2 linked regions of the Drosophila melanogaster genome follow. The protein of the gene in region 2 purifies or fractionates together with the protein of the main gene of each other region. This does not show direct contact. Each region holds a gene or a part of one and is shown on either strand. Other genes may lie near its edges.

Evidence for each region.
Region 1: the proteins of cad (region 2) and Adf1 purify together in Drosophila melanogaster (affinity purification with western blotting; one study listed by BioGRID). This does not show direct contact.

What each region holds. Positions count from the first base shown.
Region 1 is NT_033778.4:6,657,069-6,666,716, forward strand, and holds the start of Adf1 (Adh transcription factor 1), read left to right. Parts: upstream 1-5,201; 5' UTR 5,202-5,379; coding exon 5,380-5,380; exon of another isoform or gene 5,381-5,500; coding exon 5,501-5,689; intron 5,690-6,326; exon of another isoform or gene 6,327-6,988; intron 6,989-7,081; exon of another isoform or gene 7,082-7,127; intron 7,128-9,648. Other genes in the region: sced (scrambled), read left to right, coding at 444-2,912; Dpit47 (DNA polymerase interacting tpr containing protein of 47kD), read right to left, coding at 3,613-4,173, 4,231-4,860. UniProt on the Drosophila melanogaster protein: May play an important role not only in the regulation of Adh expression but also in the transcription of other genes.
Region 2 is NT_033779.5:20,766,732-20,776,379, forward strand, and holds the start of cad (caudal), read left to right. Parts: upstream 1-3,999; 5' UTR 4,000-4,376; coding exon 4,377-5,178; intron 5,179-9,648. UniProt on the Drosophila melanogaster protein: Caudal (cad) is one of a number of transcription factors controlling segmentation of the embryo.

The sequences.
Region 1 (9,648 bases), on a different chromosome or scaffold from region 2:
AATTTAAAAGATTGTGTAAATTAGTTAAGAGATTATAAATAAGAATTGCTTGGATACTACCTTCTTATTAAGCTAGTACTCAAGATGTCCAAATAACATGTAAGCATTTAGCATTTAAAAGTATAAATAAAGAACTTAAAAGAGCTGTGTAGCTTAGGCTGAGCACCTTAAGTTTGATTGATGTATATTGAAGTTATAAATTCATTTGTTGGTCTTCTAGAAACGCGATTTCTGTGATATTCCGCCAGGTGGCAACGCCAGTCACGTCACGAGGACACGAAGGATAAACGTGCGATAAGAGAATAGCCGATAAGAGCTCCACCCAGTCGCAAAAAAGATGTAATTCTCGAAGTAGCGGATATAGATCGTTTACTTTTTTATTTTTCACTCGCAACTCATTCACCGCACCTCCATCCGCCCCACCACGTAGCAGTAGCCCCAAGATGGACCACAACGAAATCTCCATGACTATGGACGCCAAGCTGGATACACACGATAAGCGACCAGTGGCGCTGCGTTACAAGACATGGACCCGCTGCCAAGTGAAAATAGAGGCCATTAAGTGTGTGCCCTGCTTCCTGCGGCTCAGTTTCCAGGCCATGGAGACCGAGTCTCACTCCCAAGAGTGTCACCCCGCTAAACCCATTAGCGTCTCCGTAAACGTTCCGGGCGTCAGCTTGAGCCTGGCTACCTCGCGCACGAAGCAGCACTCGTACGGGCTGTTTTGGACGCAAAATCGGCGGGACTGCTTCATCTATTTCGCCCTGGAAACGGAGACATCCTGCCGACGTCACATGAAATGGATGCGGAAGTCGATTAAGAATCTGGAACTTTATCGCCAGGTCTTTCTAGAACAGCGCCGGCTGAGCAGGGGTCCCGGAGGTCTGGGCCCACTGCCTAACCTGCCGGAAACCCTCGACGCTAGCGCTCTCTCTCCGCGAGTCTCGCAAATATACGAGGAGATTTTTGACGGCAGCCGCATCTCCCGCGTCTCAATCGCATCCGGCATTTACGAAGAGATGAAGCCGTCAGTCATGGAGACTCCTTCACCGCCACCGCTGCCCGCACATCCTTACCGTCAGCGAATAAACACTTTTGAGTGCGCCCAGCTTGGCGAGATTGCGCGGTCCAGCACCAATCCCGAATCGGAGCTGGCCAAGAAGAAGAAATACAAGAACATGCTGGACAACCTGTTCGGGAGTTCACGTCAAAAGCGTTCCGGCAGCACCAGCGAGGTGGCCAATGAACCCAGCGATGAGGTCCTGCCACTGTATGAGAATGCCCCCACGCCGGAGCCTGTGCTTCCGGTAAAGCGCACATCCCAGTTGAACAAGTCTCAGCGTAATAGCTTCTCAAGTCCGGACTTGTCCAAACTCAATCTGCTGGACACCTTTGGAGAATACTTCGAGGCCCAGAACCATGAGTCGAGCATGGAGATAAACATTAGTCTGGATGAGTCGGTCATTGAGCCGATCTCTCGCAATGAGATTATTGCGCAAATATCTAGCCAATTGGGCAAAGCAGACTCTTTGGAAAGTCTGAATGTTTCGGAGCAACTTCCGTACAACTTCAACTTTTCCGCTTGTAACACGTCAACCATCAATCTCATTGGATCGCATGGAGCTGTTCCGCAGAGTAATCAGCTAAAGAAAAATAAGATACTGCACGAAGACCTTACGGGATACTGTGTAATGGCACCCATTTTAAAGGCGACGGTAAAAGATTTGCCACCACAGCCAGGCGGCAGTACAGTGTCCACATCCTCCGGATATTCCACGGGCTCCTACTGCTCCTCCACCAGCAGCTGTAACACGGAGGACCAGCCCACCAAGACGCAGATCGCCAATGAGAGTGACATATACGAAGTCATGCATGGAACCTCTCTGAACAGTACCGTCGGAGCGGCTGCAGCTGGATTTGCGGAACACCTCTACGAGAACCTTTTGGCTGTGAAGGCCGCACAGGAGCTGGAGGCGCAGCCTGTCGGCTTTGGACTGAGCACAAGCACACCCACCGAATCTCCCCTGGCGCCGGCCTTGCCGCAAAAGGGAACGCCCAAGGACAAAACTTTGCAACAGAAGCCAGAGGAGGAAAACTACTACCAGACACCAAGAAAGTCGATTATCAGTGTGGACGACAAGATACCCTCCTATTATCCGAACAGCTGCGACACACTCAAGTCAAAGCGACGCAGTCCCACCGAACATGGACCTAGTTTTAGGCACTTAGTCAGTTCCAAGTTGCGACGTGAACGAAAGGAGAACCTCTACATTTCCTCGCCCCAGCAAATCATTGAGCAGCGTCACAAGGCGGCCACCATCTCATCAGCATCAGTATCAGCCAAGACTAAAAGCTCAACCAAAAAGACTGCCGCCCACAAAATTTCTGACAGTGTTTATGCAGTCACCCATCCGGTAAAGCGTCCGAACAGCACCAATAGCAACAATACCCACCAAAGCAACAATAACAATAACAATGAAGGCGTGGATGACGAACTGCTGCACTTGACCGTTTTGAAGAACATTGACTTTAAGTTTGATGATAGCCAAGCATCTGAGGATTCCTGCAAGGCGAAAGCATCTGCTCTTCCCGTAGCGAACGAATGCTTTGTACAGCCAAATCTGGAGAAGGAGTACGAGGATCGCTTTCAAGCGGCGGAAAAGGCTAGTCGTCTTTTGCAAAAGTATGCGACGCTGGCCAAAATCGGGCATTCGCCCAGCAAGGCGTTGCCCGCACCAGCGCGTCTGGAACCCATGATTCAGTCTGTGGCCACGTCCAATGAGTTGCAGCCCGAGGGAGGCACCATGAAAAAGTTCGCCTCCCTACCACGCTTCAAGAAAATTGACTTTTCGCCGCTGAAGATGAGACTCAATAGTGTCCTCCAGAGAAATCCACCTTCGCCGCAGCACTAAAATGGATTCTCCGTTTTCCGTAACCATGTTTAACACTTCGCTGTGGACACAAACTGCTTTTTAACCATTTCGCTATTTATGTTGTAGTTTCTTGTGAATGTGATCTGATTAGTTCGACAAGTTGATTATTATGTTATCCGAGTATATAATACGCTTTCCCACGATGCACTTAGTATTAAGCCTTATATGTATGGTCATCCTGCTTTGTCAAATGTATTTTAACGAACCATATCCGGATCCACTTGGGGGGTCCCCTAGTATTACTACTGTTGTGAACCAACGATGAATGTCTAAGAATATGCTCAATTATGAAAATTTACAAAAACGCTTTTATACGTATTAAACCAAAAACCACATTGTTGACTCATTTAGGCGCCTTGTTGTTAAAGAAAAACTAAATTTAGCTAAACAATTTTCAATTCTACAGATGATTAATCGTCTACCAAAATGGGCTTACGCCGCATCAGATATTTTTTGGCGGCGTAGCCTGAACTACGCTTTTCGGCTTCGCATAACATATCAGAGATTAGTTAAACTTACAATAAAATGCTTCAAGATAGCATAACCAATGCTGAACTGTACCGTGACTAAACCATAAGCTTACAAATAAAATATGCCACAAAAATGAAGTAAACTTTACAAGCAAATGAAAAGGTGTTTGTTTGTTTTCAAGAAGGAATCACTTTATTTGCTCACTGTCTTAACTGTAAACCATGGGTCGTCGCCGTTCGTTTATAAACTCCTGTTCCACTCGCGAATCCTTGTGCACCACATAGAAGAGCAGAGCGCCACCGGAAACGAAAAACCCCTTTTCGGCGATTATCTCGGCCAGCTGCTTCTCCTCGTCCACCTTGTGGACACAGCCCACCTTGCGGTTCTCGTAGTAAACGTGCACGTTACCCAGGCGGTAGTTGTGTGCCTTGTCGTATGGCAGCTTTTCGGTGAGCAGCGTCGCCAGGCAATCCCGCATGGTGGTGGTCTCCGGCAGCTGCTGATAAAAGTCGCTGTACAGGAACTCGGGGTAGGAGAACGCAGCCGGCCAGATCAGAGTGCTGCCGTCCTCGTCTAGGTGCACCGGATGGTCCTCCAAAGGCAGAAACTTTGGATAAAGGAGCTCCTCACTGAGGACGTCCTTTTTGCCAACTTTTTGATCGTCAAACTTAATGGCGCGCTGCTCGATGGCGTCGCGGAGTCTGTGGAAGCGTGTAAGCCGTCGCTTTGCCTCGGCAGCTTCCTTGCGCTGATTGCGTTCTATCTCGAGCTACGGAAATAACTTGTTTAATGTGGGTTCCTATCCAGTTGGATCACGTATTCTAACCTTCTTCATCTTGTTCTTGTGCAGCAGCGCGATGGCCACCTCGTTGTCGACGTCCACCTCGAGCAGCTCCTCGCACATCTGGGTGCACAGATCGAACCTCTCCAGCTCGTACGCACACTGTGCCGACCGCCAGCGGGCCTTTGTGTAGTCTGGCTTGTAGAACAGAGCTCGCTGGGCGTCGCTCAGCGAGGATCTGTAGTTCTTGATGAAGAAGTGAGCCGCCGAGCGGTTGTTGTAGAGAACGGCTAGCACGTCGGGATTGTCCGTCTTGGTCTTGATGCCCTCGGTAAAGCTGTAGATTGCCATGCGGAACTTCTTGTGCTTCATGTAAAAGTTGCCATCCTCCTTGTAGTTGAGCGCCAGCTCGTCGCGCGTGTTCTCCTCCGGATCGTACTTGAGCTTCTGCAGACCCTCGAACATCGGATGCACGTCATCCCCTGGCTGAGGAGCACGTTTCATGAAGAACGGGTGCTTGTCCATCTCCTCCTGCCAGCGGTCCTCCGGCCAGCCCTCCTCGTAACGTTTCTTCTCCAGGCCATCGATAAACGCATCCAGTTCCGCGTCCAGCTGGGCCGCCAGCTCCAGACGCTCCTCATCCGTCCAGGCTTTTTGTGCCGCCATTTGTTTCATTTGGTCTAATCAGAAACAGTGTGACCGCAGACGAACCGTTACAATATACCAACTGGCCAAAGGTGCCGCACATTTCCTAAAGGTGGCGCCTCTAAAATAAGGGTGGCCCTCCGTCTATCGATAGTCGTACGCTTCCTTCTTTAAACGAGCTAAACTCGGAACGAATTATGATCTTAACATCTTAAATCTTAACATGGTAAAACTTTAAGCCTTTTGACGCTTTACGCAGCTGTTGTGATATATCAGAAACATCGATAGTCGCCATAACATATTGTTATTGTATGAGAGTTTTAAAATTATCGATGCGCTGATGACCCCTTCATCGGCGTTTTCCCACCCCTAATTGGCAGAGACGCGACTGAGCTGGGACGTACCGTTACCGTTGGCAGAGACGCGACTGAGAAATAAAATTAAAACGTCGACGTTCCTTCCTCGTAGAAGAAACCAATCAAAATAAAAACAAACAGAGCGTGCGTTCGCGCCAAATACTTAACAACAATTAGCAAACGTAAGAAGCAAAGTGAGTGTCGTCGGCTGCGGGAGCCCGTGTGCCCAGTTTGGAACTGGGATCCGACCCAGTCCACGTCCGTCTCGTCCCCGCTAAATTTGTAACTCTTGTTTCCCCGTCTTGTCCCCTCAGTGCATACCCTCACGGCGGCCATTGAGATGGACAAGCTGGATGCCAATCTTGAGCAGCAGTTTGATCTCAATCTCATCGAGGCTGTCAAGCTGAACCCAGTGATATACGACAGGTCGCACTACAATTACAAGCACTTTGTGCGCAAGGCCCAGACCTGGAAACAAATCGCCGAAACGCTCGGTGTGCCTGGTAAGTGAAATTCGGCTGGTTTTGGCTACGGGTTTTCTGCTTTCTGTCAGCCGTCTTCGGTCCGTGCCCCAACCAGCCCCAGCCAATTGATTAATTCTGTGCGGGCGCAGGTCGAAGGGGCGGGACAAGTCAGTCGACGACGACGACAGAAAACGACGCAAAAGTGAACGGCGACGCGGCGCAGTAGCTGGCTGATGGTTAGGAAATGGCAGGGGGGGATCTATACGTGTGAGGGTGGGCGCGGGCTGCACCGCTCATAAATTGCATTTTATGCGAACTTTTTTTACTGCATTTATATGGTTGCATTTAGAATACAGTTCATTAGTAATTAAACCTAGGTTAATTTCTATCTGTAAAGATCTGCTCTAAAATGAGCGCCCCTTTCGGGCGCTCGGACTGCGGCCCTGCTTGCTCTGTCGGTGTGCAGACTGTGCTCAGTCGATATTTTTGAAGTTGCTGTACTTTGCCGTCGCGTCGCAGTAGTTGTCTCGCTCGCTCCGCAGCCATTCTGCTTGCGCCAGCGTTTATTTTCGTACACTGCGACTGCGATGTGCGCTGCTCACACACGTATACATGCATACAGCATACAGTGGCAGAAAACAGTTTGGCACGGGTTATAAATACGTATTTATTAGTAAAATAAATAAGTTGCTCAGTTCTTTAGACGAAACTATGGATTTTATTTTAATATTGAATAGGATGAGAATTCGGAAAATTAAAATATAGGGCTTTGGAAAGGTCAATAGATAAGCACAAATTAGAACAGCTGTGTCAACACTTCAGAGTCCCACTGTACATACCGGAGACCGACCAGGCAGCTTTCGTTTCGTTTTCATGAGTATACCAACAAAATGTACCGTTCACCCCACCCCCTCGACGGCCGTTGATCGAACCTTAAATTTTCGGCCAAATCGCTGCACCTCATCCGCTTTCGATTATGCAAGTAGGTGGCTGGAAAGCTGGAGTTGCAGTCAAGTGGAGCCAGCAGCAATGCCACAGGTTTCCGTCTCCTGGCAGCGGGCAGCGGGAGTCGGCGACGTCACAGCCACCGTCACGTCAACGTCTCTGCTGGCGCTGGGAAGCTGCTGTCCGCTGCCTTCCTTCTGCCACCGACGCTGCTGCTGCCAACGGTTTGTTTTGGTTCCCGATTTGATGCTTCTTTGGGTGGGTTTGATGGCATAGTTCTAGTTTCTGCACAGTTCCGGACTACACTAGTCCAGAGCTTCTTGAAGAACCTTCTGTGGAGAACCGCCACGCACAGCTGCGCAGGTGTGCTTGCACCGGTTGTTATGAACAGGTCTTCGAGAAAAAAGCATTTATTCAATGTAACAGAAACAAGATTTTAGTTTATATTAGATTTGTAATATTTTCAGAAACATTTCATTTACTTACGAATCTGGTTTCTTTTTTCTTTTCATTTATAGAGGTATACTTTATCAAGCATTTGACGGGTTACCCTATAAAATAAAATACATACAGTTTGTCAAGAAACTGTTTACACACTGTGAAATAAGTTGAATTTTTGACTTTAAAGCTAAAAATAAAGGGTTTTTTGCTTAATTAAACGCAATTTTTTTTATAAAATATAATTAAACAATATTTATTTTACTTATAAATCAAAAAACAAATTAAAAATATTAAATATACAAGAAAATAAACAACAAATTCCAAGTTTACACACTTTTGAGACTGTCAAGAAACTCTTTACACATTTTGTTTTCCTACTTTGTTTTGTTCTTTTTCTTAGAACGAACTCGATTTTTCCGTTATTTTTGGCTTTGCATTGCTTTTTACAACGCTTCTATTGAAATTTGTTGACTTTGCTTGTGAAATTTTGCTGATCAAACGTGCTTAAAGCGAATTATTAAATTTAATAAAATGCCTGGAAAGAGATTAACTTTTGAAGTTACCCAATTAATAAACTATAACCACCAGTTGGGAAAATCTTTTCCAGAATTAGTATAAATGTTTCCTGTATCCCGTAAGACCGTCTACAATGTTTTAAAAGGCTCGGAAAAAGAGGGCAGGCTTGAACCTAAGAGTGGTGGTGGGCGGAAAACCAAAATTAACAAGCGAGTAGACCGCCTTATCATGCGAAAAGTGATTGCGAACCCCTGAATCTCGGTCAGATCACTTGCTCAGGATATCAGGGAAGAATGTCACCTAACTGTGTCACACGAAACTGTGCGCCAAGTCATCCTACGCCATAGGTACTCTTCAAGAGTTGCAAGAAAAAAGCCTTTGCTATCAGAGATCAATATTGAAAAGCGTCATTCATTCCCTGTGAATGATGGATCATGCGGAAGAGTACTGGGATGACGTCATATTTTGTGACGAAACAAAAATGATGCTCTTTTATAACGACGGGCCAAGCAGAGTATGGCGCAAACCGTTGAGTGCGCTAGAAAAACAAAATATCATTCCAACGATAAAATTTGGAAAAATGTCACTGATGGTGTGGGGCTGTATCACCAGCCGTGGAGTGGGAAAACTAGCCTTAATTGAGAGCACAATAAATGCCGTGCAATATCTAGAAATGTTAGAAAACAAATTTGAAGGCCAGTGTAGAAAAAATTAGTCTGGTTAGCAACAACAAGCCAAATTTTAAGTTTTACCAGGACATGATCAGAAACATAAAGAGTGCAATGTACGCACCTGGCGCCTTAATAACTGTGGTAAAGTGATCTATACGCCCCCTCAGAGTCCTGATCTGAACCCCATTGAAAATTTGTGGACCTACTTAAAGAAGAAGGTGGCAAAAAGGGACCTAAAACACAACAACAGCTTATGACTGTAATAGTCGAAGAGTGTGAAAAGATCCCGTTTGAATATGACCTGCAAAAACTTGTCCAATCCATGAAAAAAAGGCTTCAACTTGTAGCTAAAGCCAATGGGGAACATACTACATACCAAAACTTTTAAAATTTTAATAAAATAATTAAAAAATTTAGGATTAAACTTCGATTTAGTGTTTTGTGTAAAGAGTTTCTTGACAGTCTCAAAAGTGTGTAAACTTGGAATTTGTTGTTTATTTTCTTGTATATTTAATATTTTTAATTTGTTTTTTGATTTATAAGTAAAATAAATATTGTTTAATTATATTTTATAAAAAAAATTGCGTTTAATTAAGCATAAAAAACCCTTTATTTTTAGCTTTAAAGTCAAAAATTAAACTTATTTTACAGTGTGTAAACAGTTTCTTGACAAACTGTACATTTATGTACGTATGATATGCTGATATATGTACATACATATGTACAGTGACGCACCTAATTATAGGCACAGTCTTTTTTTTTTTATTTATTTCTATCACTTCATTTATTTGGAGGATTTGCAGCTCACGAAGAATGTTGATAAATTTAACTTTTCGCACTAGGATCATAAGGAAGGCGAAGGTCGCCCGAAAATCCAATCAGTTCACATTGCAGCCTATTTTAAAACCAAGGGAGAAGGCAATAATAGTCAGATGCCCTTTTCTTCGCAAACGTTTTTTTCTTTAAGTGGTAGTTTAGGAAAGTGTATGATGAGTTTGAACATTGCATCTCGTTGCTAGAGTAAACAATCTATATTGAGTCAGCCAGCTCATCCGTTTAGCCGATGTAAAATATTGTTTAAGTTAGCTGATGGACTTTTGGAAACATGTGATACATATTTTCGGCTTACTAAAAACATTTTTTTTATTATTTTTTAAGTGAGTCATTAGAAAGGCAGTCAGTAATTTCTCAAAAAAATGTGACGCAAATTTCAGACGAAATATGAGCTTATGCGACCTTTTTAAAATCTACCAACCAAGCAATAAAATAGTAGATTGAGTTTTCAGAACTTAAGGCTTCTTTATTTTGGATCATACATATATTAAATGTGGGTTAATAGACAATGCATACATAAAGGCAACATTAGTTTAATAACTATTAAATATGGACATTTAATAATCATAAACCAACAACTCTTTTTCATTT
Region 2 (9,648 bases):
ACGAATTGGATGCCCAGCAGGAAGGACTGTATCAAGAGCCGCAAAGTACTAATTAACTGGAACTAGAGTCACAGGTGGATTTTCCGAAATTATTAATTGCTGTAACGGAGTCCTTGGTTTATAGGATTGAGTTTTCCGTTTGAATTGATTGGAGTATTTATTTAATTGATTGTTTAATAAATAACATTTTGTTTAGAATTTATAATATGCAAATAACACATACAAGATCACTTTTATTTAATTAAAATGATTGGCAGGCCTTTTAATTTCAGCTGTACATTTTATTTTACTGCTATGACTGTCCCAATATTAAAGTACCAATTTTACAAGTCGAATATACTATAAAAAAACTTCTAGTTGAAACTAAATTCATGTCAAGAAATTAGCAATGCATATCGATGAAAACTCCAACTTCGCTACCTATACGAAAAAACTAAATATATAGATATTTTTGATACGCTTTTACTTCTGAAATTATGTCGTTGTAAGTCTAAATACTTAAAAATGAAACTGAAAGCAACTTTAAGATTTATCTGTATCTTGTGGTCTTTACATACTGTATTCCTATTTTACTGTGGCATGTTCCAATCATTTTGCTGTGCACTTCGTTTTCGAGGCACTCAGTAGAGCAGAGGCGAGATTTATATCAAAGCAAAATTCCTTTTGTATTTAATTTGTTTTTAAGCGAAACTTTTTTGAACTTGTTTACCTTAAAATCCTATTTTAATCCGCGCTATACATAACATTGTTAATAAATGTCTATTTTTCGACAATGACGGTATATTGAAAATAAAACTACCAAATCAACTGCTTCTCAACCAATTGATTGGCAATAATCCTGGAATATTCCACAAGAAGGCTTGGCTGCGAATCCGAAAGCAATTTGGGCTTTCCACCCATGTGTGACTTGCCGCCTTTTGTTGTTCTTCTCCACTCTAATTTGTTTTATTAACAAAGATATTTTATCGCCAATGTCGCGGCACCCATAAAGGTGCTTGATTGCGACGGCGAAGGAGGCGGTTGCTCGGCTCGTACAACGCAAAATGCACTTGCTGCGGGATCGGCTGGGGGTTGCGGGTGGGCGGAAGGGGTTTCTGGAGGGGTTTGGCCCGGCAAACGGCCGTAAAACTCTCAAAAACGTTAAACGAACCGACAAACAGCGAATGCCGCACGACAATGATACGTCTACCATCCATACATATCCATCCATCCACACTCAAATCCGTCTGGCGTCGACGCTCCACCAAGCCACAGATATAGGTTGTTAGATCGGGACTGGAACTTGGACATATCTGTAATGGTCTGATTGCCCCTTGAGTTTTATTTCGGAGTCTGCTTTATGGGCTATGGCGCTTGCTTTGCTTTCTTTATGGATTTATTAACATAATTGAGGGAATATGTATAAATACCATTGAATTCGTAGCAGGTTGTTAATGTCAATGGCGGGGACAGATTCTAATTTACGATGGCCAGATAGAGATGCATTAGAGTGTTTTACAGATTGAAATAAATCTTTCATTGCCGGAAGGGCAATTCGAAATGGATTCTCTGCTTTCGATTCAACTAATCGTCGGGGAACGTTTGTATATTATAATATTATGTATTATGTTTGTAATTGATCAACACTTTCTATTTGATGAAAAAATATTACAATCTTCTATCAAATCTTGCGTTTGTACGACCAAAATTCATGATTCATCTCGAATTTGCCGCCCAGGGGGAGTTACCATATGTTTACATAGATCACTTAGGGATTAGCCTTTTTGTGCGCCCCTAATGACTTCCAGGTAACGGCGTGTTACATGACTTGCCCGTGCCTGGGATGAGACGAGGAGCCCAGCCTTATAGAGCCCACGGGTCGTACCCTTCCAGGCCCAGCCCACGCAGTAAATTCCACCGAATTGTTGACGGTTTGCGAAAAAGAGGAAAAAACAAATCTGGGCTGTGGCTGCCTAATTGTTGTGTGAATTTTATGGGCCGATCGATGGGCAGGTCAACGCATCAGCACCACCTTACAGGCCTTGTTTGGTGTCCTCGTTCCCGTGCGACCTCTACGATCGCATCCTGGTTTCTGTATTCTGGTCTTTGGGTCGCAATGGCGATGGTTATGGCGAAAGCGATCGCGTTCGCGTAATCATAAAATCACCTTTTGTGCGCGGGCCTTCGATTGTTTTACAACATGTTTTGTCTTACGGACATTAAGGGGTTTTTTGTTTGCAAACGAACCCGAACCAGTTTTTGGTAGTTCAGCGTTAATAAGTGAGTATTGAGTACCTCCCTCGCGAGGCCAACTGCCCGGTGTGCTTCTGTTCCCGTGTTCCGCCGAGTCCTTTTCGGGGATATGTCGGTTATCCTCCATTGTGTCAGCTGCATTCACTTCTAATTATTTGACGCGACATTTGCAGTTTGCAGTTTTACGATCCCATACCGAGCATCGAACATCGCGGCAATCAATGAATTTATTTTTTACAGATTTAGAGAGGATTTCTGGAATCTCGGGATTACTCAATCGGCGCGAGCTTAGCGTTCTTTTTAGGGATTACAATTGGGAGTAGCTGTGTGGTATCGAAATTCTTGCGAAAAATTAATAAGAATGGTGTTAGCTGACCTGGAATTTGTGAGGCAGGAATATGTTTAACCAACTATACCTTATTCCAATGAATATATTATATTCCTTTGTGTAAGGAAAAATTATAGTCAGATAGTTTGAAAATAATTGGACAATGATTTCACATTCTAATCTTAGGGTATATTACATGTATAGTTTTATAATTAATGCCACAATATGAATATTTGGAATTTGTTATATTGCCAATATATTATAATAATTAGGCGCGTTTGCAATCTTATGATCACACGCGTGTCTGTCATAAATTATAAATAAATCAATTTATTTATTATTATTCAAATTGCGTTCAATTATTAGTTTTTATGTTAGTGAGGAGGTTTTGTAAATGGGTTTATTGATATTATTAATTCTTTACCGTATTGGGCCAATTTTGCCTTTTGCTTCACGAAATGGGTAACACTTTTGCTAAAGTCGTTATGAAATAATAATCGATATTTCAATTCCACCCATTTGTTAAACTTCCAGCGAAGTTTGATCGAAAATAAGTTCTCATGGGAATTTAAATTGATTAGTCATATTTTTGGTAATGAAGCTGGAAACTTTCGATTTACATTAAATGATAGATCCGTCAAAAGATCACCTCATTTTTAGTACCATCTTTTTTTTTTACATAAGCCCCTTGTATCACATCTTGCACCTTATCAATGCCAGACTTCTTCCGCTATATTTGAGTTCCCTGCGAATTTTTATCGCTGCTTACATGTCAATTATGGCATTAGCTTTACAACTAGAACCGAACAATAGTGCTTTGACAATATCGAGGCGCCCATATAAACAGCGATTGCTTGGCAAACACCAAAAGTCTGGACATCAAGTGTGTGCAGATCAAACACGGTATATGGATATGGAGAATAAAATCCGGAGGATAAAACATTGATTATTCCCCAGATAGAGGTACATATATCGCGACTATTACGACCGTGGCAACATAATTTTACAGCCACTAATTGCATAATACACACGCATCTCCGCAATTACTTAATTAGCCAACGGCAATTGCAATTAAAGTACATACAAATCGAAAGCGGGCCATAAAGGAAAAGGGGTTTTCTTGGCCAAGATATTACGACAAACTGCATACCTGGCTCAATGGGGCGTGGCCACCTGCCTGCCAGCCATCGCAGACCGGTGCGAAAGAGACGGAGCACCAGACAGACGGAGATAGCGGTAGTCAAGCACTCAGGCCATCTTGAATTTCGACCGAGCAACGGAAATGAGGGTTAAAAACGCCCAAGTAAAGGCACTGCTCGTGCGCTAGAAAGAGACAACTAGTGAGTGCCGACTGCGGTGGTTGTTTTTTTTGAGCCTCTCTGCCTGTTTATCTGATTTTCCACTGCTTTGAGTTTTTTATCAGTCGAGTCTTGCTCTACGTTTCAGTACGTGTTCGACCTGCATACTGAGTTGACGTCGCCACGCACGGAATAACATTTCAAATTAGTAGATTAGCCCTGCAAAACAAAAATCCATCTCGTGAGTGAGTGCTGAAAAATAGCGTTTCGAAATATTATCGATATCTCGGTCGTATGTTACTGTGCTCCCAAAAAACACATCACCAGCCAGTGATAACTGTAAAGATTGACAAAGCAAAATATATCCATTATAACCCAAACTGAAACTCCAGAAAATGTGCAACTAAAACATATTGGCCATCAAAGTGATAAGACTTAGAGATTAACGCCGGATTATTGGACACCGGACCGAGCACTGGGACTATCTTCGGAGAAAGCGCACCTAATCTAACCTCAAAATGGTTTCGCACTACTACAACACACTGCCCTACACACAAAAGCACAGTGCCGCCAATTTGGCCTATGCCTCAGCGGCGGGCCAGCCATGGAACTGGACGCCCAACTACCACCACACGCCGCCGAACCACCAGTTCCTGGGCGATGTGGACTCCTCGCATGCCGCCCACCACGCGGCCGCTGCCCACCAGATGTACTACAACTCCCATCACATGTTCCACTCGGCGGCGGCGGCCTCTGCCGGGGAGTGGCACTCACCCGCCTCGAGCACGGCGGATAACTTCGTTCAGAATGTGCCCACGTCGGCCCACCAGCTGATGCAGCAGCACCACCATCATCACGCCCATGCCTCCAGCAGTTCCGCCAGTTCCGGGAGCAGCAGTAGCGGTGGTGCACCGGGTGCGCCCCAGCTCAACGAGACCAACAGCAGCATCGGCGTCGGAGGAGCAGGCGGTGGCGGTGGTGTTGGCGGGGCCACCGATGGAGGACCAGGTTCCGCACCACCCAACCATCAGCAGCACATCGCCGAAGGTCTGCCGTCGCCACCGATTACCGTTTCGGGCTCGGAAATCTCTAGCCCGGGGGCGCCGACTTCTGCCTCGTCGCCGCATCATCACTTGGCACACCATTTGAGTGCCGTCGCCAACAACAACAACAACAACAACAACAACAACAATAGCCCATCCACCCATAACAACAACAACAATAACAATTCGGTGAGCAACAACAACAGGACATCGCCATCGAAGCCGCCATACTTCGACTGGATGAAGAAGCCCGCCTATCCAGCACAACCACAACCAGGTGAGTCCTTAGAGACCCAAGAATATATTAAATACAGATTTAGTGTTTTATGAGGGGGTATGATCGGTTACTTCATAACTTTATGAGTAAGGCTAATAACCTGCTTTTACTGCAAAGTTAAGGTCTATGCTTGCCATTGTCACTAGCTTGTATGAGTTTTTTTTTTTTAATCGAATGTGAAATAAGATCTTACTCACCGAAGGCTTTTAGTCCGAAAGACCTCGATTACCCGAATTTTTGTGTATTCAGCTACTTAGTCATTCCACTGACCTTCGATTCCGCGTACCCTGCGCTTGGGTTTCTCCCGCATCCGCCTGGCTACATTCCGAACCCGAAGATTCCATATTGCCCAGCACATAATGCACTGCATTGTCTTCCCGCCAAGCTCGTGCTGTTCGCGCTTTTCCCTGTCCATCTCTCACGGTACATATATGGGCTTTTATAAGAATCCGTTTGCCTGGCGCGCATCCAAGTCCAAATGGCCAATTAGCTCATAAAAATCAAATTCTGTTCAAGCTTCACTTTTATGATATTCAGTTGGGGTCGCGAGATCCCCGATCCGACGCCTTGATTTATGGCCACCCCGTGTTCACCGTCCACATGAGTGTTTCTGTTTGTTTGCTCCACTCTGTCTCCGTCTCGATTCCGATTCCATTGACTAATTTTGTATCGTAAATCAACTTAACAACTATAAGCATTTGAAAATGGTTTGATCAACTTACCAATAACCAGACAGCATTTGATGGAAAGTCCATCAGAGTAGAGGACTGGACTGTAAAGGCTTAGGAAAGTTAGGGAGTTCGGAACCTATTTCACAGCAATTAGCATTATGTGGAGTGTCTAATTGAAGGTTTCACTATTTTCTAAAAATAGTGAATATTCTGAATAATAAGTGAATAATACCCAATTCGACTCTCTTCTCTCAGTTCATGCAAATTTTCTGTGATTATGTGGATTTCTTGCGTTTTGTTTGCTGTGTTTTCCTACACCTCTGGAAAAACAAGCAAAGGCAATTCAGATGGCAGTGCAGCGATCTCAAACATGAGAAGGAATAAACCACTCACACATTTGTTCACGATTTATGACCCGGGCGCATGTCAAGAAGGGGAAAATGAAGACGACGATATCGACGATATCGACAATAACGCCGATATCCATTAAGCCCATAAAATCTGTTGGCATGCAATTAGCGTTTATGGCCGCTAATCCAGCTGATCAAGCCGACAAGGCGACTCAAGTTTGCCTTATTTATTATTATTCAAAACCCCCTTTAGCCTCCGCTGTCTGAATGTCACCTTTCTGACGCGCGACTGATTGTAATTCTTGCCGTATTTCATTTGCCTAAAAAGCACAAATATTTAAGTAAGAATAAATATTATATAAAAATAAAGTTAGATATTATTTACAGCCACTATGAGCGATCAGCAGCACCTTTTGCCAACACTTTGCTCAGGTATTATCTCTCTGGCATTTTCTTTGAATTGATGGTCTCGCCAAATCGAGTAATAATTAGTAATCTGCCTTTTCCAACAGAAGAGAAGAGGGGGGCTGTGACTAACACTTCGTGATTTTTGATAGAATTATAAAAGGTCCATTTTCCGTTGTCTGCGCGGCATGTGGCGGCATGTGGCGGCAGGGCACGTCGAAGGCCCACTTCAGCTTTCGGGGTGTGGCAATAAAACGGCAACCACGATTGTCGCTGGATGCAGATGCCGTGTACTTTTGTTTCAATGGCTGGTGGTTCGGGCGGGTTTTTCGATTAGATTAGCTAGCGTGGGGAATCAAATAAACGCCCGCCCTGTCAATAAGTCCTGAAAACCCCACCCAACCCATGGGGCTGCGAGTTCTATTTTCTGTTGCTTCAATAATGTGCCGAGTGATATGGAAACGTGGCCACAAAAAAAAAAAAAAAAAGAGTTCTTTGCGTGTTATCTAAAACGTCAAAAGCGTTGTTGATAAGCGATTCCGCTGCGTTTGCGACGGGCATATTGATTAAAACAATATAGGGTCGTAAACCAATAAAAATTAGTATTACTTCCAATAAAAACTAAATAGCGACATTTACGATCAAATCTATGCAATCATTATTAAACGGCAAGAAATTTAAGTGTCCATAGTTCAGAAAAGGATAGTTCCAACAATTCTGGTTTGCCAAAGTTGGCTAAAGTATCCAACCAATTGTATCAGTTATCCAATGTTGCCCAAATAAGGCTCCTCATTCTTTGATCCTTCGATTGGCCAACATCTCATTGCATTGAACGCACTTAGCAATACATTTTTGCTTATTAGCTGTCCGTAATTTATTGTCGTTATAATTTCTCCGGAGAACCAAATGTATCTAGGGGCCCAAGGAGTTCTTACTGGGATTGTCTGTAGATTTTCAGCATTGCCCGTGTTGGGACATAAAAACTAATGCCACCTGACACATTGAGATTTAATGTGTCAATATGCACAGAAAATTTATATCTAGCCACATAAATAATCGAAAAAGAGAGAGAGAGAGAGAGAGAGAAGGAATATATGGCGGGCTTGGATTTATATTGCTTTCCCGACGCATCTGAAAAGTGTTGTACTGCTCCACCGGCGCGGATGGGATACCTTTGTGGTCCGATTTTGGTCTGGGTCCCGCTCCGAGTACCAGTACCGTTCCCGGTCCCAAGATAAGCCATCGAAAATGGCCACTAGCTGCAGTGGAAATATGTTTGGTTCGGTTTCCTTATCAGCACTATCGCTGTTTGCCGATGACATTTACCCTTCCCGTTCACCCGTCCAAAGTTTCCTCCTCCGCTCCTGCACGGGTCAAAAATGAAGTCGATTTTTGGCTGCGACTGATCTACGTGGAGTGTGCGTTTGGATCGGTGATTGACATGATGGGATTAGCATTGGAACTCGCTGGCCAGGCCGTCCCATCTCCCTGTCCGTTTGTCACGGACTTGTTACCAATGTGTCGTTTGCTCTGGGCTTAGTTGTCCAAATAATAGAATAGAATCGTGTTTGGGTTTTCCTGCTCTATTTGTATTGGCCCTGATATTGGTAATAACCAGAAATTCGAGTCTTGTCCCAAAGCCCTGCGCACACAGCCGTATATATGTCCATATACGCATAGGTCTCCACTTTCGTGTACATGTTTTTGATATACCATTCGAGGCGTATCGAGTTTATATTGGAGGCGCTAGGGATTCCGGGGGCTTAAATTGGGGTTACGGACAGCTTACTCAACGGAGTGATAAATTAAAATGGTAGCTGTTCAAAATGGGTGCGAAATGTGTCGGACGATGTGTTATTTATTAATGGAAATTGGCGCATTTTATTTTGATGAATTATAAAACAATGTAGAATGTAAAGACCATGGAAACTAATTTAAACTACTGTACAATCCATTTGGAAATCTTTGCCTCAAGTTATTTTATCAATGAAAGTAAACAGCAAAGAGAGAGTCCAGAAACTGTAAATTATAGCCACGTTTCCTGTTCGCCATAAACCATAATTCCATAATGGGAATACTGCGATGTACATATGTACATAGTTCGTATCGGGAAAACGAGGCGAAAGCCTTTTGTTTGGGGGGCAACTTGGCCAAGTGACAGGGAAATCCGATTGTCAATCAACGAGGTCCGCCTGAATTATGACAACACAAAACGTTGCAATGATGATGGCTCGGACGGACGGATGACACCTGCTAGTGTCTCAGGCCAAAGGCAACCCGCGATTGTATGATTGAGTAGCTGACTGATTGAAGTTTAAGGCTTGATGATTGTGGAGTGGGAGGCGGCAGCGAATTCTGATTCAATTTCGAGTCGTTTGGCGATTCCTTTTATGAGGTGACAACATTTACGATACGGTAGCAAAAACGGAAAGAAAGATTTGTATGTATATGGCCGGTGGCCAACGTTAATCGCTTAACAATACAATAAAGTAGCAATAATTATAAAAACTAAATGAAATGCCCCGCCATCGTATAAATGACCCACAACCATGAATGAACCAGTGCGCGCGAATATATATGATTGCCATATTTGTGATTTTTATGCCCGACTTTGATTAGGATGATTATACGCTTGATGAGCCCGCGGATTACTATTGCCCTTCTTGTTTGGACTGTAGGTATCTCGGTGGTATATGGTGCTCGCCAACTGTGCCACATATGTACTTACATATATTCCCTTCCGATTCTGTTTGCGCCTGCCGCATTTGCTCAGTTTCACCTCGGAGTTCAGGCAAATATTGTTGCACACTGACCCGAACCCCCTGCCTGGGCCAAAAAACACTGAGATAACGGTTAGGGGGCGGGGGGGGGGGGGGGGGGGGCGGAGAATCGGTGGGGAATGGCTGGGGAAATTTATAGTGCTTCCTCGGCGCAGCCGTAAGAATTTATTGCACATTATTTTGTCTAATAGTTTTATGAAGCGCAAATTTACTTTCAATAATGTGGGCTTCAGTGGGCTTTTAAGTATTTATTGTGGCTGTAGT